3 linked regions of the Stegostoma tigrinum genome follow. The protein of the gene in region 3 interacts with the protein of the main gene of each other region in a pairwise test. Links are inferred from orthologs where the notes say so. Each region holds a gene or a part of one and is shown on either strand. Other genes may lie near its edges. The genes, in order: esr2a, oxysterols receptor LXR-beta-like and ncoa6.

What was found.
Region 1: the proteins of ncoa6 (region 3) and esr2a interact in a two-hybrid assay, tested with the Homo sapiens proteins (3 studies listed by BioGRID). The link is inferred for Stegostoma tigrinum from reciprocal best matches to the Homo sapiens genes NCOA6 and ESR2.
Region 2: the proteins of ncoa6 (region 3) and oxysterols receptor LXR-beta-like interact in a two-hybrid assay, tested with the Homo sapiens proteins (2 studies listed by BioGRID). The link is inferred for Stegostoma tigrinum from reciprocal best matches to the Homo sapiens genes NCOA6 and NR1H2.

The regions. Positions count from the first base shown.
Region 1 is NC_081363.1:3,531,868-3,539,932, forward strand, and holds the start of esr2a (estrogen receptor 2a), read right to left. Parts: upstream 3,058-8,065; 5' UTR 2,947-3,057; coding exon 2,864-2,946; intron 1-2,863.
Region 2 is NC_081391.1:16,073,023-16,080,559, reverse strand, and holds the start of oxysterols receptor LXR-beta-like, read right to left. Parts: upstream 3,004-7,537; 5' UTR 2,887-3,003; intron 1-2,886. UniProt on the Homo sapiens protein: Nuclear receptor that exhibits a ligand-dependent transcriptional activation activity. Binds preferentially to double-stranded oligonucleotide direct repeats having the consensus half-site sequence 5'-AGGTCA-3' and 4-nt spacing (DR-4).
Region 3 is NC_081372.1:13,070,304-13,077,599, forward strand, and holds the start of ncoa6 (nuclear receptor coactivator 6), read right to left. Parts: upstream 3,053-7,296; 5' UTR 2,932-3,052; intron 1-2,931. UniProt on the Homo sapiens protein: Nuclear receptor coactivator that directly binds nuclear receptors and stimulates the transcriptional activities in a hormone-dependent fashion. Coactivates expression in an agonist- and AF2-dependent manner.

The sequences.
Region 1 (8,065 bases), on a different chromosome or scaffold from region 3:
CCACCATCTGCAGTTAATTCATTAAAAATTAAGGAAAGCATCAAACTGAAGGAAAAGGCACATGACTGTTCAAAGTTAAGTGGCAAGTCGGATAATTAGTCTGAGTATAAAGAAAGCAGAATATGATTGAAATATTAATCCAGAGTAAAAGTAAATTAGACTATGAGACAAAGCTAGCTCGGAGTGTTTAAAAGTGGAAGAGAGTATTTAAAATGGAAAAGATTAAATACCTCTAGAGTAGGAGAATTGGTATTTAATAGCAGACAGTAAGGAAATAGTGGACGAAATGAACAGATAGTTTCCGCTGTAGAGGATGAAAGCCATCTCAGTAACAGCAGTAAATCAGGAGTGAGGAGCTCAGTGAGATTACAATCACTGGGGAAGTGGGACTGAGCGAAATGAAGAAGCTGGCATCTGACAAGTCTCTGGATCCAGATGCCTCAATCGTAGGGTCTTAAAAGAGATGGTCCAACAGGTAAGCGATGCATTGCTGTTAATTCTAAAATTCTATCTACGTCTCAATCTGAAAAATCAGTCCAACCCTCTGGTGCAGTACTGAGGGACTGCTTCACTCTCAGAGGTGCTCTGTTCTACAAGACATTGAACTGAGGTCCAAGCCGATTCTGGTCGATGCAAAATATTCCACAGTCACAATTTAAGAAGCAAAGGGGAGCTCTCTCCAGTGTCCTGACCAATGTTTCATTTCAAAAACACTGAGACCATCTCTCTATGTTTTTGAAGCAGATATTCTGATTATTATCACAGGACATATTATGGGGGCTCACTGCGTGCAAATTGCTTGACCAATGTTTTCAACAGTGACCACACTTTAAAAAGATACCACCTGCGAAATACTTGAGGACATCTTGAGGATGAGAAGGATGATATTGAAATGCAATTCCTACCTCTGTCCTACTGACACTTAAGCAGATCAGTTGAGAACAGGCCCCTATTGTGAATACAACAGCAGGAGAGATGGCCAGAGAGGAGAATAGGGCAGGGGGGCACGTTCACTGTCCGTGGTATATCGTAGACAGAGAAAAGAAAGTGTGAGAGTTTTCTCTAAAGCAAAGATTCCAACCTGAGTGAAGCTTTTTGCTTGAACATGGGCTGTGGCTGGATTTGTAACAATATTTTAACCGGTGACTGAGTGTGGAATGCTCTAACAGCACTGGAAGGATGCAGGGTTAACGGAGACTCAGCAATCTGTTGCAATAAGCTACGTCTCTCTCAAAAACTAAGTAATACCACCACCTGGAGGAATAAGGGAACACACTCACACTCACACTACAGACACACACACACACACACACACACACACACACACACACACACACACACACACACGCTACAGACACACCCACACACACACACACACACACAGACACATACACAGACAGATGCGCGCACACACACACTACAGAGACACACATAGACAGACACACTCACTCTCACACACACATTCACACACACCATTTCCAAGGCTTCCAGATGATATTTACAAAGCCAACACCAGGTTCTCAATCAGTGAGCACTGAACCAAAGCCACCTTCACACAGGGATAATGTTTACAGTTTGTTCACTGAGACTGGCTTTCATGTGCCTCACCTGGACAGGTGATTACACACAGGCACTGACCAGGCTGTCTCAGGATGTAGAACCCTTCAGGCACATTTGTAGGGGTGGTCTGGCTGGGGATGCAGATGATCAGTGTTGGTGCCGGAAGTACATTTTCCAATAAACGTGATCCCAACTTATGTGCGGTCCCAGTTCCCCCAGCAGCCTGGGGGCAATGCCCAGTGTTGGGGGGGGGGGAATGGGGTGGCTCAGGCATTTGTGACCTGCTGACTTTTACCCCTAGGCTACTGCTAAGGCCCTAAACTGGGGCAAATTGGGGAATTATTACACTCCAGTCCATGATCAATTTCAATCCCAACTCTGAATAAGGGAGACGGGGGGGGGGGGGGGAGTGAGAGGGGGGGAAAAGGAGAGAGGGCGAGAAAGAGTGGAGAGGGGAGTGAGAGAGAGGGGAGGAGTGGGTGGTGACAGAGACGTGAAGCAGAGGTAGAGCGAGAGAGATGAATGAATGAGTGAGAGAGAGAAAGAGGCGGAGAATGAGTGAGTAAATGAGAGAGGAGGGGGGGTGTGGACGGGAGGCAAGTGTGAGGATCCCATTCTGCTGTGATGCCTGATGTGGCCAAATAGCTAGTCAGCACTCACAGTGGAGCCTGGGAGAGTGCGCTCTCTGGCAATAGCCCCTGGCTGCCCTCTCAGGGGTGCAGTGAGACCTGGCACCACATCAAAGTCCGGATTCGGAGGGGACCGAAACCCTCTGAGTGTGAACACGAGTGTCCAGCTCAGTCCCTGAATGAAACACAACACAGCTGGGAATTTCTGAGTAAGCCCCCGTGCCCCCTGTCACTGGGCAGTACCTTCTCTCTCCCGCCCCCACACCCCAGGATGCTGGGGGTCCGGGGCAGCACATGAAGTCTGAAATTCACGGAGGGATCTGAAGTCGCCCGCGAGAGGACGTGGGCGTTTAAAAGAAAACATTTCCCCGGACAGGATATTTTAACAGGATTGCTGCGTTTCAGAAAAAAAAATCACAGCTCAATGAAAAACAAGTGTCGGGAGTTAGTTGTAAAGAGAGAGAGAGAGAGAGAGAGGTGAGAGTGGGGAAAGAGACAGGAGCGAGGAGAATGTGAAATAGGATGGGGTAGGAGGGAAGAGTTGGGGGAGAAGGGAGGGAAGAGTTGGGGGAGAAGGGAGGGAGGGATAGACAGGGGATAAAAGGGAGACCCAAGGAGAGAGGGTACCCAGAGAGAGAGTGTGTACACAGGGCAGGCTGCTCTCAGATGCTCACCGTCTCTTCAGCAGCTCCTCCCGGTCCATGGTCCTGCTGAAAGTTGTGTCAAACTCAGGTACCTCGCTGTTGGCCTCCAGCATCCACAGTCTCCAGCTGCTGCCTCCCTCCCCGCCTCTGCGTCTCTGTGCAGCCCCAGCTCAAAGCTGCTCCCTGGAGCTGGGGAGGGAATAGGGAGGCTGAGGAATGCAGCTGCGCTGTCTCTCTCTCACACACACACACACAGAGCTATTGGTGGGAAGCGCTGCTCAGCTGCCAGTGTTCTCACTCCCACTTACTGCCCTGGGAAGGCAGCGCCATCTGCAGTTGTCAGTCAGCACCATTCCAACACCCCCTCCCTCCAACTCCTCCTGCAAATCCCCTCCTCCCTCTGACTCTCACCAAAGTACATGGACACAGTGGGGAGATGGGAGGGTGTTCTGCTATTCCACCAGCGGGTCTAGGCCAGACATTCTTATGTCTTCACATCTATTTCAACTACTGAACCGTCAATGTCCTCTTTTTTTTATAAATCCATGGCCAACCAGCCCCATCATTCCCCGTACCTGCATCCCGTGGTTATAGCAATGCAGAGTTTAGAACTAGCAGGAGTGAGAAAGACTGAGCAGCATGCCAACTATACCAATTTGGGTGGCTCAGGGGTTATCGCTGCTGTCTCACAGTGCCAGGGACCCAGGTTTGATTCCACCCTTGAGCAACTGTTGGTGTGGAGTTTGCACAATTCCCCCCCACCCCATGTCTGAGATAATAGGAACTGCAGACGCTGGAGAATCCGAGGTAACAAGGTGCGGAGCTGGATGAACACAGCAGGCCAAGCAGCATCTTAGGATCCTGCTGTGTTCATTCAGCTGCACCCGCCGTGTCTGCATGGGTTTCCTCTGGGTGCTCCGGTTTCCCCCCACAGTCCAAGATGTGCAGGTTAGGGTGGATTGACCGTGCTGAATGCAGGGTTGCCAAAGGGTGGGGATGTAACTCTGGGTGGAATGCTCTACAGAGGGTAAGTGTGGACTCGATGTGCTGAATGGCCTGATTCCACAATGTTTGGATTCTAGGAACTAGCTTCAGAGCAGGCTAGCAACTCGTGAGGATCGACATGCAGATGCTGTAAGGATGAGGAGATGGGAAAAGTTTTTTTTCAGCCAGTGAGTAGTTAGGATATGGAATGCACTGCCTGATAATCAGAGATTGCAGTGATGATGTTGCCTCGTAGGGTAAGAAAATGTTTGCACACCATGGAACAACCAGATCAGCAAAGAAATGAACAATTGAAATAACAACCCGAGCTACATTTCACTAAGACTTTAAAAATACACCGCCTGGAAATGTAGTGGAGGCAGGATCATTGAGAGGGTTTGGGTAAGAATGGTGTCCCAGGGATTATGGGAGAAAGCAGGAGATTGGCAGAAGGGAATAGGACCAACACAAGAATGGTGGGTCGAACAGCCTCATTTAGCATGGTCATTGTTCTCTGAGAGCTGTGAGGTGTGAGACAGAAGAGATGGGGGTGGTGAGGTGTGAGACGTAGACTTTAATTGCTGGGCTATAAGGAGTTGTTGATGACTTGGGGGTCTGGGGTTGACTATGAGAGCGACCGGACGGAAGGAGACAATTGGATTATAAAGCACACAGACTCATCAATGGAGGGTTCGAGAAAACACAGAAGTTGTGCTGAGCATTCATGAAGCTGAAATAAAACAAAGAACTGGAGCTCACCACAATCTTCTCAAGGGGCAATTAAGGACAGGCAATTAGTACTGACCCAGCCCTCCCACAGATGTATATTAAAAAATAATCTGAAACAGAAACTGCTGGAAAAATTCCTAAAATCCTGACAGTGTGGAAGCAGGCCATTTGGTCCATCCAGTCACCACTATCCTTCTGAAGAGCATCCTAACAAGACCCACACCATCCCTGTAACTCTGCACTTCCCAAGGCAAACCCACCTAGCCTGCACATGCCTGGAATCTATGGGACAGTTTTGCATGGCCAATCCACCCTACCCTGCACATCTTTGGACTGTGGGAGGAAACCAGAGCACCCGGAGGAAACCCACGCAGACACAGGGAGAATGTGCAAACTCCGCACAGACAGTCACCCGAGGCTGGAATCGAACCTGGGTCCCTGGTGCTGAGAGGCTGCAGTGCTAACCGCTGCCCTAACTCAGCAGGTCTGGCAGCACCTGCGGAGAGGAAGCAGAGTAAACATTTCAGGTGTAGTGACCCTTCTTCATACCTGATGGTAGCTAGGAAAAGGTGGTATTTATGCTGAAGACAGGGGTTGGGAGGGGGATAAAGGGGTAGGGGAGGTAAAGGAGTGTGCAGTAGGTGAAGATGGACCCATTGGGAGTGAGTTTGCAGACAAATCAGTGGGTAATAGTAAGTCAGGGAGACAGAATAAGTCTGATAATAAGAGCCATTAGTGGGTGAAAATGGTTAGCTGTGTGGAAATCAGCCAGAATCATGGCAGAGGCTGAAGAAAGGATGTAGAAAGGAGGTTCCCAGGCCCAAACATTATTGTTCTCAATATTGAGCCCTAAAACCTGTGGGGTCCTCAAGCAGAAAACAAAATGATGCTCTTTCAGACATATATACCATCCCTACCCAGCTACAGTCAGTTCAATTGTAAGGTAACTAGAATCGATGTATTATCTCTGTCTCTCTCTCCCTCTCTGTCCACAGATGGTGCCAGACCTGCTGTGTTTCTCCAGTCATTTTTGTTCTTGCCCCGTAAAGCTGCAGTTAGGCCACAACCAGGGCCTTGAGCCCAGTCAAGGCACCACACTACGCGAAGGGAGCAGGATCCTTCGGGACAGTGTAGGGAAGCAAGTTTGGTTCCAGGGATCGGAGAAGTTTAACTCCAGATTTGTTCTGGAGAAACTGATGTTCCCGTTGGGAGAGAGAGAATTGGAGGGAGATCTGATCGAAGGATTAGTTTGGGATTGATACAGGGCTACAGGGAGTGAGCGGGCAGTGGGATTAGTTTGGTGACTGATGGGCCAGAGGAAGAGAATGGGGCAGAGGGGTTAATTTGGATAATGATTCAGGGCCATAGTGAGAGTGATGCCTAAGCACAGTGGCCAAGACAGTGCAGCACTCCCTCAGTAAATACCGATATTGCATTTCTGCTAAGTCTCTAGACCTGGGACGACCCCACAACCTTCTGCATCCAGGATGGGAACAACAGCCACTGGGCTATGTGGAAATGTCCTAGACATTGTCAAGGGGCTGAGTGGCCTCCAGCTCGTGTGGAATGGTAAAAGCAGGCTCTCAGGATGAAAGGAGCTGTGCTGTTGTCCTCAGATGCTCTCTATCTGAACCAATCTTCAAACTCCAATCCTTCTGAAAGGAGTCACTGCATCAACCAGCAATCTCACAGATTGATTTGTTACCGCTAGATGTGAACATTTTTCCAAAACGTTCACATATTGGTCCTGCTGTTCCTGATCTAATCTCAATTCCCAAATTAATTTCAAGTCTTAAAATTGACTTCAAAGCATCTCACTAATCTGCCTTTAATTATAAAAATGAATCTAGATTCTTTCCAGATTGTTATCTGCACAGAGTCGTTAAACTGCAGGCTGGTTGGGATAATATACTAACTTGTTTTCTTTCTGACTGACTCTGAGTCTGACAGAGGGTCCCTACAAAACACTCCTTCATCAAATCCTGATAACTGATGGCTTCAAATGATGATTGCTGGACATACTAAGCCAAGAAGCTAAATATTGTCATTGGCCTCTTGAAACATCTCCTGTAAATCCCAGCCAAAAGAGCAGAACAGTTTCCATCTGACAGAGGCAGAGACCCCAGTTAAAACTAAATCTCTGATCCAAACTCATAACAAGATAAGAAGGGGAGTCTGCAACAAGGGAACATAACCTTAATCTCAAAAGCAGGCTAGCTGAGACGGTAGTCAGGGAATATTATTGGAAAGACAGAGACTTGCATGAGCGTTGCAGAAAAGAAAAGGCGCATTTTTGCATAGAAAAAACTTTCCATCTTGTACCATTCAGGACAATTTGCAAGAATACCAAAGTGAAGGGAAACTGACATTTATACTGCAAGAGGGGAGTTGTGAGGATGGCAAGTGGCCCAGATTGGGAAAGAAAAATAGAATATAAGGCACAGATTTTGGAAATCAGGAATAAAAATAAAGTGCTACTAAAAATCAGTAGCGTCTGTGGAGAGAATGCAGAGTTAACATAGAGTCCAATCTGATTCTTCTTCAGAGCTTCTTCAGGCTGCTAAAGATGTTGCCTTACACAATGCACCTGTGATATGATGACTGACTGTTAACTGTTACATTGTGTGCATGGAATCAGCCTGTAGGAAACATCGAGTATATTTAAGACAGAGATAGATGGGTTCTTGATTGTCAAGGGGATCAGGAGTTATGGGGAGAAAGCAGGAGAATGGAGTTGAGAAATATATCAGCCACGATTGAATGGCAGAGCAGACTTGATGGGCTGAATGGCCTAATTTCTGGTCCTGTGTCTTATGGTCTTATGGCCCTTTGTATTAATGTGTGGAGCTTCCAATTTGTTCCTATGTATCATACTGTGAGCCTGACTGACCATCATTAAGTGACTGCCTGCGCAGCTTTTTTGCTCACTCAGGAATATCTGGCAAATATCGCCCAATCACAGAATCGTTCGAGATTAGAAGGATGGAAGAGTATCTCATAGAGTTCACAGACTAGATGCAGGAGGAAACTTCCTCTGGTTGGGGAAAGCAGAGGTTACAGTTTCAAGATACAGCGAAGACTATTTCAAACTGAAAAATGAGGAAAATTGTCTTCAGTTGGAGGGTGGTGAGCCTGTGGAATTCCCTAAAACAGAAGAGTATGAAGGTTTGATTTGATATGATTTATTATTGTCACATGTACCCAGGTACAGTGAAAAGTTTTGTTTTGCGTGCAGTCCAGGCAGGTCACACCATACAAAGTGCGTTAGGGTAATGGAATGGAGCAATGAGTACACTGTTACAGCTGCAGAGAAGGTGCACAGGGAGTGAGGTCAACATTAAGTTCAAAATTAGAGAGGTCCGTTCAGCAGCCTAATAACAGCAGGGAAGATGCTGTTCTCGACCCTGTTGGTGTGTGTGTCTAAGCTTTTGTATCTTCCGCCTGATGGAAAAGGTTGGAAAAGACTGTAACTGAGGTGGGAGGGGACTGTGATGGTGTTTGCTGCCTTCGGGAAGCAGT
Region 2 (7,537 bases), on a different chromosome or scaffold from region 3:
GGTGGCAACAGACAACAGCCCAATTCAGTTGTGCCCAACATTCCAACAAGTACACTTTCTAGGAATCAAAGCTGAAGGTCCAGCACAGTACCGAGGGGCTGCTAAGGAGGAGACATTAAACTATAACCCATTCTCTTTCTCAGGTGTATGTGCAAGATCCCACAACAGTATTTGGAAGAAAAGCAGGGGGAATTATATTCTCTGTTGTGCTGTGGAGTGGCACTGAGACATATACAGCAGGACAGTTTGAGATTTGATCTCTGCTCAGCTCATGTGAATCAAAGTAGCAACAGAACAGAACAACCACTCTTCTTAAGAGCAGGAGGGTGGTGGATTAGTCAAGCTTCCTGCTTTATATTGTTAACTTCACGATGCAAAAACATGGACCTAGACAACCTACACTAGACATATTAAGCAATTGAACGAGATGTATTTGGAACATCATGGGCATCAATGGAAGGACAAAATGAGGTGGTGGTACTTTGATAATGTGGTTGGGTCAGTAATTCAGAACCCCAGGCTAATGTTCTAGGGAGGTGGGTTCAAGTCTCACCATAGCAGCAAGTAAAATACGGAATTAAAAACAATCCATTGTTGTAAAAACCCATCTGGTTCCCTGATGTCCTCCTTTAGGGAAGGTAATCTGCTGTCATTACACTGTACAGCCTACACAGGACTCCAGACTCACAGCAATGTGGTTGACTCTTAACTGCTCTCTAGGCAATTGAGGGTGGGCAGTTAATGCTGGCCTAGGTAGCAAGGGTCAGGTTTCACAAATAAATTTTTAAGAAGTACCCAACGCAATAGTATTTCAAAGAGTGGGAATCCCTGAAATTGGAGCACTCATCAAACCCCAGCTCTGATATAGCAGACATGCAAAATGTATGACTGATGTTAAATCCCCAACACCGTCATGTATTCACAGCTTCAACTCAGATACATTTGTGAGGTCTGCCAAGATGAAGGTTCATGGACTGCTTGAAGGCAAGCCTCAGGAAATGTGGTCTATCTACCACAGACAGGGACTAAAATGCGCAAGAAAGAACAACCTGGGAAGTAGTCTCAAGTAGTGGCATCGCATCCTTCAAACAGGTAGTTAAGGACACATGGCAAGTGAGAAAGACTAGGCACAGCAAACAAGAAGAAAATCAAACAATTCATCCATGCTCTGCAGCCACATTAGAATGAACGACAAATCAGGAGCAGTAACATTTAGCCCTTCCAGCTTGCACCATGATTCATCAAGATCATCTGTTTGTGTTCTGAATTCTATAGTCCCATCTACCTCTGATAATCTTAGATTCTTGTTAGGCATGGGAACCAACCTGCTCCTTAAAAATATTCCAATGATTCCTCTTCCACTGTCTTCTGAGGAAGAATGTTCCAAAAATCACAAAATCCTTTTAGACCAAAAAAATCCCTCATCTTGGCCATAAAAGCACGATCCCTAATTTTAACAGTCCGCCTAGGTCTGGATGCCCCCTTAAATGCAAATATCCTTTCCATGTTCACTTTATTAAGACCATTCAGGAATCTGATAAACTTTGATCAGATCATTGCTGCCCTGAAGTCAAATGAAATGAAGGTTAGCCTGTTCAATCTTTAGTCATAAGGCAACGCACCATAAAGGATTCTATGTGGGCACAAAAATCATGTAAGCAACATAATTATGAAAATAATTTACAATTCTCATGTTATTTTGGTTTTAATTTCAAAAAAAACAAGTACAAACATAACAAATTCAAGCCCCCAGGGCTATTACGGCACTCATTTAAAACACCATGCACATCCCCCTCCCCACTCCATACAGTGCTAGTCTACACTGACTGGTTTTTAGAAGAGTGGGTGAGTATGTGTGCACATCCATCATGCCACTCACTTTCTTAAGTGAAAAACAAGATAGATTACCAATTAACTGCTCTACATCCACCAGTGTCAATCCTAAAGTGGCACTAGAAAAGACCAATGACAATTGCTCTCCTGCTCCATCTCTCCCCCTTGTATGGCGAAGTGTTTTCGGTACACTAAAAATTCCTCCACGACAGCATTGCTAAGTCCCAGCAAGTGACAAGCACGTTCCCACATCCCACCACAACCCTGAGAGTGCTAGCTGTCACAGAAATAAAACATGAAGGTGATTTATTTTTCTGCAAATCTCAATCTTACTTTCTCAGGGTCTGTCCAAATTACACCACAATGCACCACACCAGACACAGAAAACAGATCAAGAACTATTTAGAATGCAGATTGCTCTGTATCATTGCCTCTCGTAAGATGTTTCGCGCAAATTTAAGCACGCAGCACAGTATTCTCCTTCACCGCATTTTCTTGAATCCAAGTCATGGGTTTGAACTAACGATGCAAGTTAAGCAACATCCAAACATTGAGAAAGGATAGAAACACCGAGCCAGTTAGCCAGCAAAAGGTCAGATTAACAGTCACTCAGAAAGAGACCGTGATGGCAGAGGCTCAAACAAAACGTATCAGTTTTCAAACTACTTTTTAAAAAAGAACATCCAGCAACTTCTTAAAACAAACGCAGCAGTCAAATCATTGCCACAAAACAGTGATTTGAAGCAATTTTACAGCCAGCCTGCTGATGAGCATGATCTGAGCCCAGCCAGTGATTTGAGGGAAAATTTGAGATCTCAAAGCTCCCCCCTTCCCCCGAAAGGTGTGGTGTAGACAGACAGAGTCCACTCTGGGCCTGGATACAGGCAGGAGGCCTTTCCAACCCCCTGTTCAACTCAACCCCCTCTCCAGCTCACCCAGAATAATAATGCAGCATTTAAACAGGAATAACAAGCAACAGATCTAAACGCTCTCCCCTCCACTGGAATCATCACACACCAGAACTCATCAATATCACAATCCCCATGTCCTTACCGGCCTGCCTGGGGTTTTAAGTACAGCGACTATTTTTCCGTCCAACCCCTGGGAACTTTCCCCTTTCTCCTGTAGTTTCTCTCTGTCTCTCCCCTCCCCCTCCTTTGACAACTTCAGGGAAACCCAGGCGCAACCTAACCTGACCGTTCCCGCGGGTCCCGCCTATCTCCAACAATCATTGGACAACCGCGTGCCCACTCCTTGGTGTTATTGGTGAACTTCCACGTCCATCACCACCGCCGTCAAGCTTGTCTGACGCACGGCGTAGATGCCACATCCGGCGGAAGCCGCTGCAGCGTTATATCATTCCTTTCCTACAGGTTTTTCCTTTCCAGATTTGAAAACAATGGCGGCGCTTTGCTAGGCAAAAAGATTTATTCAATATCTGAACTTTTTTATTTATATTAAAATCGAATCCCGTTGAGTGTTGCCCCTCTGACTGTTGCGTCATTGGGGCGCCATCTTTGTTCGGGGGAGAAGTGGATGGTTCTCCTGTAGCGGCCTCTGGCTTATCCCAATAACTGGCCATTGCTTTTCAGTGGCATGCACTTAGCCCCTTTGCTCAATATGACAGTGCATTCTCACACCAAAGAGAATGATGCTGTTGCCACAATAAAAACAATGCTGGAAATCTGAAAATAAGAACAGAAATTGCTGGAGAAACTCAGCAGGTCTGGCAGTATGTGTGGAGAGAGAAACAGAATTGACGTTTCGAGTCCAGGAATCCTTCCAGTTCTGGAGTGGAGTCATACTGAACTCAAAACGTTAACTCTGCTTCTTGCTGCATAGGTGCTACCAGATCTGCTGAGTTTCTCCAGCACTTTTTGTGTTTGTTTCAGATTCATAAAAACCAAAAGAATTGTGGATGCTGTGAATCAGGAACAAAAACAAAATTGCCAGAAAAGTTCAGTAGGTCTGGCAGCATCTGTGAAGTAGAAAACAAAGTTAACGTTTTGGGTCCAGTGACCCTCAGAACCAAAGACCCTTCTGAGGAAGGGTCGCCGGACCCAAAATGCCAACTCTGTTTTCTCCTTCACAGATGCTGCCAGATCTGCTGAGCTTTTCTAGCAACTTTGTTCTTGATCCACAGTTCTTTGTTTCATTTGAGTGCTGAAGAAACTCAGCATGTCTGGCAGCATCTGTGGAGAGAAAGAAAAGTCCATAGTTAAGAGATAGTCATGAGGTGTATAAATTTCTCAGGCGCACAGATAGAAACTTTTCTGCTTTGTTGAAAGGGCACACTTTTAAGGTAAGGATCAGGAGGTTTAGAGGCAATTTGAGGGAAAACTTTCACTCAGAATGAAGTGGATATCTAGAACTCTCTATCTTAAAGAGTAGTAAAGGCAAGAAACCTGTAACACATTTAGAAAGTAATTAGATGAGCACTTGAAATGTCATTGCAAACATATATCATTATTATGGGTAGTGCTGGAAAATGTGATTAGAGTAGATGGGTGCTTACTGATAGGCATAAACATGATGGGCCAAAGGGTTGCTTTCCATACTGTAAAATCTGTATGACTCATTGCATTGGAAACATTATCTCCATTTATTTCTTGATAGATGCTCCCAGATCTAATGACTTTTGCCAACGTTTTCTGTTTTTGCCTCCTTTAATAATAATTTTGCCAAAGCTGCATTGCAAACCTCTGCTGGTGATGGATGCATGCAAACAAATAGAAGAATGAGGACGAGAAGTAGGCCATTTTGGCCCCTCTAGTTTGTTCTGCCATTCAGCAAGGTGGTGGCCTCAACTCCATTTTCCAAACTGACCCCAATAAGCATTGACTCCTGATACATATCAATGCATATTTTTAAGTCGTTCAAACTCAAGGAAAGCCTCTGAGTCACCCATTAATTTGGATATGCCTTGAGCCGTTGCCTCTTAGAGTTGTGCAGATCAATAGCACAAACAAAGGGCCTTTGGCCCATTGAGTCTGCACCATTCAGAAAACACTGCTTGTCCCTGAACAAAACAAGAGAGAGGGAGAATTTTGTTCTCCCATTCTAAGCCCTGTAAATTGTCTTCAGTTGGATATCTTATACAACTTCAGAATCAGGCACTTTCTGTACTCAACATCCAAGTTTAACGAAAACAGAAATCGCTGAAAAAGCTCAGCAGGTCTATGCAGAGTGAATGTTTCAGATTTAGCGTGACCTCTTCAGTGATGGTAGCTAGGAAAAGGTTGATTTTGTGCAAATGGTAGGGTGGGGGGAGGGTTAAGGAGTAAGTGATAGGTGGGGATAGAGGACGAACAGAGAGCAGAGCAGATGGGCAGAGAAAGGAGTGGATAACGGTCAGCCTGGGAGAATGAATAGCCGCTAATGGAACTAAGTTTAATAATTTCACAATTGCTGGTTTTCCAAACAGCAGTCATTGCTAGTGATTTTGCTGTCTTATCTCAATTAGATCAATTCTTGGTATCTTTATTTGTCTTATTCCCACCACTGTTTACTCTGGGTTATCTGCCTTTGTGCTCTTTAATTTCTCCCGCATTTGCCTGCTTAACTATCCCATTCTTTATCTCCACCACATCCCTGTCTTGTACTTCAGACGTCTTACACGGCTAATGTTTTCCAGTTCTGGCAAAAGGCCACCAACACGAAACATTATCTTGTTTCTCTCCTCAGATGCTGCCTGAGCAAGTGTATTTCCAACGCGTTCTGCTTACTTCTCAGGGATTGGTTTGTGAAACTAACAGCTATGGGTTCAATTCCCATCACCAGCTGAGGACACCAGGAAGGACACTGCTTCTCAACCTCTCCCCTCACCTAAGATATGGTGGCCCCAAGGTTGAATCACCACCAGTCATCTGTCTCAAAAGAAAGAGGAGCCATGTGGTCTGGTAAGACTATGGCAACCTGATGACCTGTTTACCTGTTGAATCATATGGCTCCTGTATTTGGGACATTCCACTATGTTGCTGTCAGAGTTTATGCAAAAAATATATTAAATATGTTACTATTTTTGATGCAACATTTGGAAAATAAAGGCAGTTCTTTTTTTTTAACCATAGCCTTTTTGGAATGCTGGCAAGAGCAGCATTTGTTACCCATCCCTAATTTCTTTGGTTTGGAGGCATCATCTGAAGAAGGGTTAGGCCCGAAATGTCAGCTTTCCTGCTCCTCTGATGCTGCTTGGCCTGCTGTGTTCATCCAGCTCCACACCTTGTTAACTCCGTATTCCATCTAGGTTTGTCCAGTGCTCCAAAGGAGAATGAAACATGCATGTGGAGAGGCAGCGGGAACTGCAGATGCTGGAGAATCTGAGATAACAAGGTGTAGAGCTGGATGAACACAGCAGGCCAAGCAGCATCCGAGGAGCAGGAAAGCTGACTTTTCAGGCCTGGACGTTTCTTCAGAAAATGGGGGGGGGAAGGGGGCTCTGAAATAAATAGGGAGAGATGGGGAGGTGGATAGAGGAGAAGATGGGAGAGAGCAGACAGACAAGTCAAAGAGGCGGGGATGCAGCCAGTAAAGGTGAGTGGAGGTGGGGAGTTAGGGAGGGGATAGGTCAGTCCAGGGCGGACGGACACAGGTCAAGGGGGTGGGATGAGGTGAGTAGGTAGGAGATGGGGGTGGGGCTTGAGGTGGGAGGAGGGGATAGGTGGGAGGAAGGACAGGTTAGGGAAGCGGGGTTGAGCTGGGCTGGTTTTGGGATGCAGTGGGGGAGGGGAGATTTTCAAGCTTGTGCAGTCCACATTGATACCATTGGGCTGCAGGGTTCCCAAGGAGAATATGAGTTGCTGTTTCTGCAACCTACCGGTGGCATCATTGTGGCACTGCAGGAGGCCCAGGATGGACATAATATTTGAGGAATGGGAAGGGGAGTTCAAATGGTTTGCGACTGGGAGGTGCAGTTGTTTAGTGCGAACCGAGCCGAGGTGTTCTGCAAAGCGGTCCCCAAGTCTCCGCCTGGTTTCCCCGATGTAGAGGAGGCCACAACAGGTTCAGCGGTTACAGTATACCACATTAGCAGATGTGCAGGTGAACATCTGCTTGATGTGGAAGATCTTCTTAGGGCCTGGGATGGGGGTGAGGGTGAGGTGTAGGGTCAGGTGTAACACTTCCTGCGGTTGCAGGGAGAATTGCCAGGTGTGGTGGGCTGTAGGGGAGTGTGGAGCGGACAAGGGAGTCATGGAGAGAGTGGTCCCTCCAGAAAGCAGATAATGGTGGGAAGGGGAAAACGTCTTTGGTGGTGGGGTCGGATTGCAGATGGCGGAAGTGTCGGAGGATGATACATTGGATCTGGAAATTGGTGGGATGGTATGTGAGGACAAGGGGGATTCTGTTTTGGTTGTTATTACGGGGAGGGGGTGTGAGGGACGAGTTGCAGGAAATATGGGAGACACAGTCGAAGGTGTTCTCGGCCACTGAGTGGGGAAAGTTGCGGGTCTTGAAAAAACGTGGAGATGTTTCTTCAGATGTGTGTTTATTTCAGAGGATTTTCCGCCCAAGCTTCACGGCTGTTGAGCAAGTTTAGTTCATGTCCATGGCGTGTGTTTGAAAAGCCATGTGGGAGTTTGGAAGATAACAAAGTGTGTAGCTGGATGAACACAGCAGGCCAAGCAGCATCTCAGGAGCACAAACACTGACGTTTCGGGCCTAGACCCTTCATCAGGTCTAGGCCCGAAACGTCAGCTTTTGTGCT
Region 3 (7,296 bases):
CCTCTCCACCTATCTTCTTTTCTCTCCATCTTCGGTCCGCCTCCCCCTCTCTCCCTATTTATTCCAGAACCCACACCCCATCCCCCTCTCTGATGAAGGGCCTAGGCCCGAAATGTCAGCTTTTGTGCTCCTGAGATGCTGCTGGGCCTGCTGTGTTCATCCAGCCTCACATTTTATTAACTAAACTTAACAATATTTCTCAAAGACATTTGTGAAACAAGCCTGTAAAGATGCAACTTTTATGTAAAAGCAAAATACTGAGGATGCTGTAAATCTGAAACAACACATGAAGAATACTGGAGAAACTCAGGAGGTCTGGCAGCAGCTGTGGAGAGGGAAACAGAGTTAACACTGAGTCCAGCATGACGCCACTTCAGAACATCATTCTGTTTTTTTCGCAACCTTTGCATGTTAATGCATAAATTATTAAGTACTTAAAAATTAATTTGCAGCCTATATGCCAACTTTGTGCATCATGCATATTAAGATCAATAGTCTTAAAATTTCAAGATCTTCCCCCTACCTAATGTCCACAGTAACATGGATCACAAAAAGCTTGATTTGCCTGGATGTGCCGTTAAACAAAATAGAATTAAGTACTGTGTATAACATTCTGAAAATACAAAATATCAAGATCTAGGACTACAAATGTGTAATTACAAAACTCTGAGGTGTACACAGAAATATTCAGCACCAGTGACAACCCATCAATTAAGTATGCTTCTGTTCACTATAATTTCAATGCAGCAGCTCACTGTATCAATGGAAGGACCTATGTCCCTGCAGGCCAGTGTGGACCAAGACAACATGAAGGACTTTGTCTTGTTGCAATTTAGTCTACATTCATGTGCCATTCGTTACTGATGAATATAGCTGCAATATCTGCATTAGCACAATTAATAAGGCAGAAGAAATCACAACATGAAAGAAATTTTAAGAAAAACTTCTGCTTGAGGTACAGAAAAACTTGTTACCTACCAACTGTCTTTAAAAGGTATCAACCACACAAAAATGTAGTGACCAGTGCAAGGTATAAGCTGTATGTATTGAGTCAGTGTCAAAGTAAAAGTAAAAATCAACACCAATAAAAAGGGCCTTTTCGCACACCAACACACTTCTCAGCTAACGTGTCACAGAAAAATTAATTTTACCAATAAGAATTATTTAAAATATCAACTTGAGAGATCTACATCCAATACTTGACAAACAAGTTCATGTGAAAGTGTATGCCTTGTAAAAACAGTAAGCTAAAAAAGACAGACAGTAGGAACTGCAGATGCTGGAGAATCTGAGATAATAAGGTGTGCAGCTGGACAAACAAAGCGGGCCAAGTAGCATCATAGGAGCAGGAAAGCTGGCATTTCGGGCCTAAACCCTTCTTCAGAAAAGGGTCTAGGGTCTTCTGAAGAAGGGTCTCGGCCCGAAACGTCAACTTTCCTGCTCCTTTGATGCTGCTTGGCCTGCTGTGTTCATTCAGCTCTACACCTTGTCATGTTAGCTAAAAAAAGACAGTAAGTTATTACATGCTCTACAGCTGGTTTCTACTCATCATTCCACACAGAAAAGCTGTTTAAATGGATCTCATGCACTGCAATAATTGAGCCACCTACACAAAAACTTCAATGTACAATTTAAAAATCAAACAAGTTCGTATAACTTAATGAAACCAGTTCTGAGGAAGGGTCACTGGACCTGAAACATTCACACTTTTTTTTTCCTTCACAGATGCTGCCAGACCTGCTGAGCTTTTCCAGCAACTTTGTCTTTGCTCTTAGTAAAATTATTTATTTCACCCTTGAAGCAAGTTTCTGGAAGTCGCTACAGATACATATCCATCACATTCAAATTCTTTCCTATAGGTTTAAATCCAAACCAACAGAAACACACTAATTCACAGATCAAAAACAGAACATTTATCATTAAGGATTTAACTGGTACTCACATTCATAACAAGTAAGAAATTGATCAAGTTACCCAATGTTAGTAGTTTCAAAACTTAAGGAAAAAATTAGGGAACGTCTTTAATGAGGATAAATAATTTGAAGATGAAATACAGAATTACATCAGTTAATATTAAAAAAAACACATTGATTGTACTACACATTGCTTCTGTAACAACGTATTTAACTAATGATAATGTAGCCCCGTTTCTGCAACTGTATAGACAAACATCAGAAAGAACCTTGCCCTTACTACAGTTTTATGTGCTTTTACTATTGAATTCAACAAAAAATGCAATACAGGATTTATTGAAGTAAAATTCAACTGTATTTAACATGACAGGAAAATTTGCATCATCGCATTCTTCAAACAGAACAAAACAACTTGATCATAATCACTATCAGACAAGAAGTAAGGAAAAGTGACATTCGAACTCTGCTCAAATGGGTGGTGGAAGCCTATTCAAAGGTATTTTTTAAAAGGGAACTGGATAAATGTCTGAAAAGTGCAACTTGGCAGGAGTAATGACAAAAGAGACGAGGCTTAAGGACTTATTGCAGATTTTGTTTCAAAGAAGCAGCAGAGGCATAATAGGTCAGAAGGTCGCGTTCTAGATTATTATGAGAAATTAAACAGACCACAACAGTGTTTAACACCGAACAAGGGAATGTGACAATTGGGAGGAAACACTGTGATACGAACTGACAGATCGATCTCAGGCGCGCCGAGAGTGAACTATTCTTAAAAACATATGGATAGCTGGTTTGTGTTTAAATTAATCGACTAAGCGAACTGGGAGGTTTGGGTATCAACCCAACACCGTACATTGAGGCGGAGAGGGAAGGCAAAGCTCGAAACACTGCGGCACAATGAATGACGGGGTGGGGGGGTGTTTAAGAGTGGCACCGGGCCCGGGATTGATGCCAAGCTTGCTCTGCCCCCAAGAGTCGTCCGAGGCTGGCAGGGCCCCGGTCTCTGTCACAAACTTACCGGCCTCAGTCAAGCTGCTGACCCAGTCGCTCTCATCCCTGTGATCACTGCTGGAACCTTAGTTTCACACAGCCATAAATTTCACAGGTTGATGCTGAATAGAATTTGCGATCGGCTCCCTCCTCCCCCTCCCATCCCCCCCCCCATCCAAGACCCGTCAACACAGCGACCAGCATCCACAGAGAACTACCCACTAGCCGACCCCCCCCAAACAGCCGCGCTCCCATTGGACTCCCCTCGACGGAGGCGTGATCGGGCTTCAGTAAGGTGCTGTTCCATTGGTCGGCGCGCCAGCCAATCAATGCTCAGGGCCGGCAGCGTGGTGACGTCAGGAGCCGCCCCGGCGGCTGAGAAAACTCCACCCACTGGAGGTATCGCGCAAACTGTTCTGTTTCAAGATAATGAGGTGCGGGGCTGGATGAACACAGCAGGCCAAGCAGCATCAGAGGAGCAGGAAGGCTGACGTTTCGGGCCTAGACCCTTCTTCAGAAATCTAGTACTATATTCAGTATTTTGTTATATTGCCTTGATTTAGTTATTTAAGGTTTAATTTGCCTGGATAGCACACAAAACAATGCGTTTCGCTGAAAACAACATATGCTGGAGATCACAGTGGGTCAGGGAACATCTATGGAGAGAGTGCAAGCTAACGTTTCAAGTCTAGATGACTCTTCATCGTATTCGCTGTATCTCAATACGTGACAGTAATAACAAAGTGTGGAGCAGGATGAACACAGCAGGCCAAGCAGCATAACCAGCCCAGCCTGTCTCTGCCTCCCTAACCTGTTCTTCCTCTCAGCCATCCCTTCCTCCCACCCCAAGCCGCACCTCCATCTCCTACCTACTAACCTCATCCCACCTCCTTGACCTGTCCGTCTTCCCTGGACTGACCTATCCCCTCCCTACCTCCCCACCTATACTCTCTCCACCTATCTTCTTTACTCTCCATCTTCGGTCCGCCTCCCCCTCTCTCCCTATTTATTCCAGTTCCCTCACCCCATCCCCCTCTCTGATGAAGGGTCTAGGCCCGAAACGTCAGCTTTTGTGCTCCTGAGATGCTGCTTGGCCTGCTGTGTTCATCCAGATTCACACTTTGCTATCTCAGATTCTGCAGCTCCCATTACCACCTATTATCTCTGTGACAGGAATGGTCCGGGAGAGGGCTGCGCTTGCGCGTCTTAGTCACCATGGGAATAACCGCGCATGCGCTTCGCCCGGAACTGCCGGCGAAGCCATTTTCTCCGTTTTTCTTTGTCCGTCTGCAGTTCATTGTCAGCTTTCTGCTTCCCTGGAAAGGGTCTTTGTGGTGCACTGGTAATGTCCCTATCTTTGAGCAAGAAGGCCTAGGTTAGTTCAAATCTCACCTGCTCCGCAATTGTGTAATGACATCAGAAAAACAAAATTAAATAGTAGTTCTTTTGTGCAGTGGTAATGACCCTAAGGCTTGGGCTCATTGCCCTACCTGCTCGATAGTTATGTCATGACATCTCTGAATAGTTTGAGTTGATTTATTACTGTCGCATATCGAGACACAGTGAATCTGAAAAAGACTCATCTAAACTTGAAAAGTTAGCTTGCCCTCTCTGCATGGATGTTCCCTGACCCACTGTGATCTCCAGCATTTGTTGTTTTGTGAAAAGTATGGTTTTGTGTGCTCTCCAGGCAAATTATACCTAATATAACTAAGTCAAGGTAATAGAACAAAATGCTGAATATAGTATTACAGCTAAAGAGAAGGTGCAGCAAAAGATCAACTTTACTATATGAGACCTCTGTTCAAAAATATAAGTAATGGTTCTTATAGTCTAGTGGTAATGTTCCTAACTCTGAGCCAGGTGGCATGGGTCCAAGTTGGACCTGTTTGAGAGGTGTGTCACCTCTCAACCCACCTGGAGTCAGAAAATTCAACTTATACAGGGAGCACTGCTTTCTAGTAGTCCCTGACTTCAGTCTCAGATTTGAGTAACCTGGTTCTCATATTCTTCTTTTCACTTAGCTGAAGAACCAAACAATTATATTGGAGGCAATGATGAATTTCACTGTTAGTGCCTCAAGAAGACAATGAGTTCCCAAGTTATGGAGAATGATCCACGTTCACAGCATCCCACTGTTAATCTTAATCAATGGAGTTGGAGTAGGAAATGTTGTGCTATGACTTTCTGAGAATTACTTTGGGATGTTCAGCCTGTTTTCCTTGTCAGGGAGGAAGCTGAAAGGAGACCTGACATGTTCAAGGTTGTGAGGGCTCTGAACAGAGTAGACAGGGAGTAACTGCACCCACTTGTGAAAGAATCAAGAATGAAAGGGTGCAGACTTAAAGTAATTGACAAAGGAAGCAAGGCAGTGGTTTGGGGGTGGGGGTGGGTAATAGGAACTGCAGATGCTTAAGAATCTGAGATAACAAAGTGGAGAGCTGGATGAACACAGCCGGCCAAACAGCATCTTAGGAGCAGAAAACTTTTCTGCTCCTAAGATGCTGTTTGGCCTGCTGTGTTCATCCAGCTCTACACTTTGTTATCAAGGCAGTGGTTTGGATTTGGAATACACTGCCTGAGACTGTGATGGAGGCACATTCTGTGGCTTTAAGAGATGTGTTTTGGTGTTTTAAAACGAGACTGGGGAAAAGTAATGAGCAGTCTGTGAGAAGACAAACAACTTGTGAAGCCTTGGGGAATTTTTTTAAAGTCATAACAATCATGCAGCATGTATGGGTGTGATCAAGCTCTCACAGATCCAGGATTTTTAGTTAGATTTCAGCAGTTGTTGCTGGGGTCTCAGCGGTAGAGGAAGGCAGTTAATCCCTCCTGGCTACTACATTTTCGGAACTGTCTTTTGATGTTCTTTCGTCATAGATTAGAGAACTGCATGTGAAATAGTCTGTTTTCTGAATTTGCCTTTTTGCTAAGGGTGTGTTTATGAGATGTTAACAAATTGGAACAGTTAATTAGTCTTATTTATGGTATTTATTATTGTGTTACGTTTTCCAATAGAATTAGGTTATCATAAGTTTTTGTGTTTTGACTGTAGTGTTTTAATAAGTTGTGTTTTGCTTAATGTTAAGTAGCTTGACCAATCAAATTGCATCTGGAACATAGTTACAACAGTTACCTTTAAAATAAAAAAAACAATTGGAGTCTAGGCTACCTTCTTAATATATTTTGAGGAGGTCTGGTCTGGTCCATGACAGTATTTTCAAAAGAGAATTAGCCTGTTGCCTGAAAAGGAAGACTTCATGGTTGAGGGGAGAAGGCTGGAAAATGGCAGTTAGTTAAAATGACCAAAGATACAGTGGACTGAATAGTCTCCTTCTATGCTGAAGGAATTCTGTGATTCTGGGTATTTGGCCCAATTTCTCACTTACTCATCAAGGACATGCCTTCAACCCTCCTTAAAAAGACACCCCAGCTTTTTTTTAACCTTCACTACTCCATACCAATCTTCTGCTTAATGATGTAGATTATTCTACAGAATTGCCTAATTATAGCTGTCTGTTTGTAAGTAGAAATAAAAGCAGGAAGTGGTGGAAATACCGAGCAGTTTGTGAGAGCATTTGTGGAGAGAAGTGGAATAAACATTTCAGGTCTGTGACTCTGATCCAAACTAGGAGAAATTAAAGATGTAATAAGCTTTCAGCAAGGGCTGGGCGGGACAAAAACAACAAAGTTTTGTGACAGAAGAGTTTGAAAGACTGAAGCACTAGCCTTACATTGCCAAAGAAATTGGTGATGGGTCAAGAAAAGAAACAAAGAAATAAAAAAGTGCCTAGAATAGATACGATGCTGACTGAAAAGAAAATGAAACAAGCAAAGAAAATGAAATGGAACAGACATTATATAGTCTGAACCCAGTAATGAGTTTGGAAAGCTGAGTTCAAAGTGAAACACTGTTCCTCAAGGTTGTGTTTAGCTTCACAGGAACACTGCAGCTAGCAAGGTGCAGAGATGTTAGTGTGGGAGCCAGATGTCAAATGACAGATCACTAGAAACTCAAGGTGGCCCTTACAGGTGTTCCATGAATTGGTCACCAAATCTCCATTTGGTGTCCCCAGTGTAGGAACCATGTAAATAGTGAATACGGTAGATGAAACTAAAAGCATACTTAAATGAGACACCACAAAATGTGGAGCTGGAGGAACACAGCAAGCTAGGCAACATCAGAGGAACAGGAAAGTTGACATTTCAGGTAGGGAACCTTCAGAAATTTTCCAATAGGGTCCTCTGACGCTACCTGGCCTGTTCCTCCAGCTCCACACTCTGTTATCTAGGAGTAAATTGTTTGTTTGCCAAGTGGCAGACAGTGATTTATGGGGTGTTGTAAGTATCAGTGCTTGGACCCAGCTATTCTCAGTACATATAAAAGACCTGG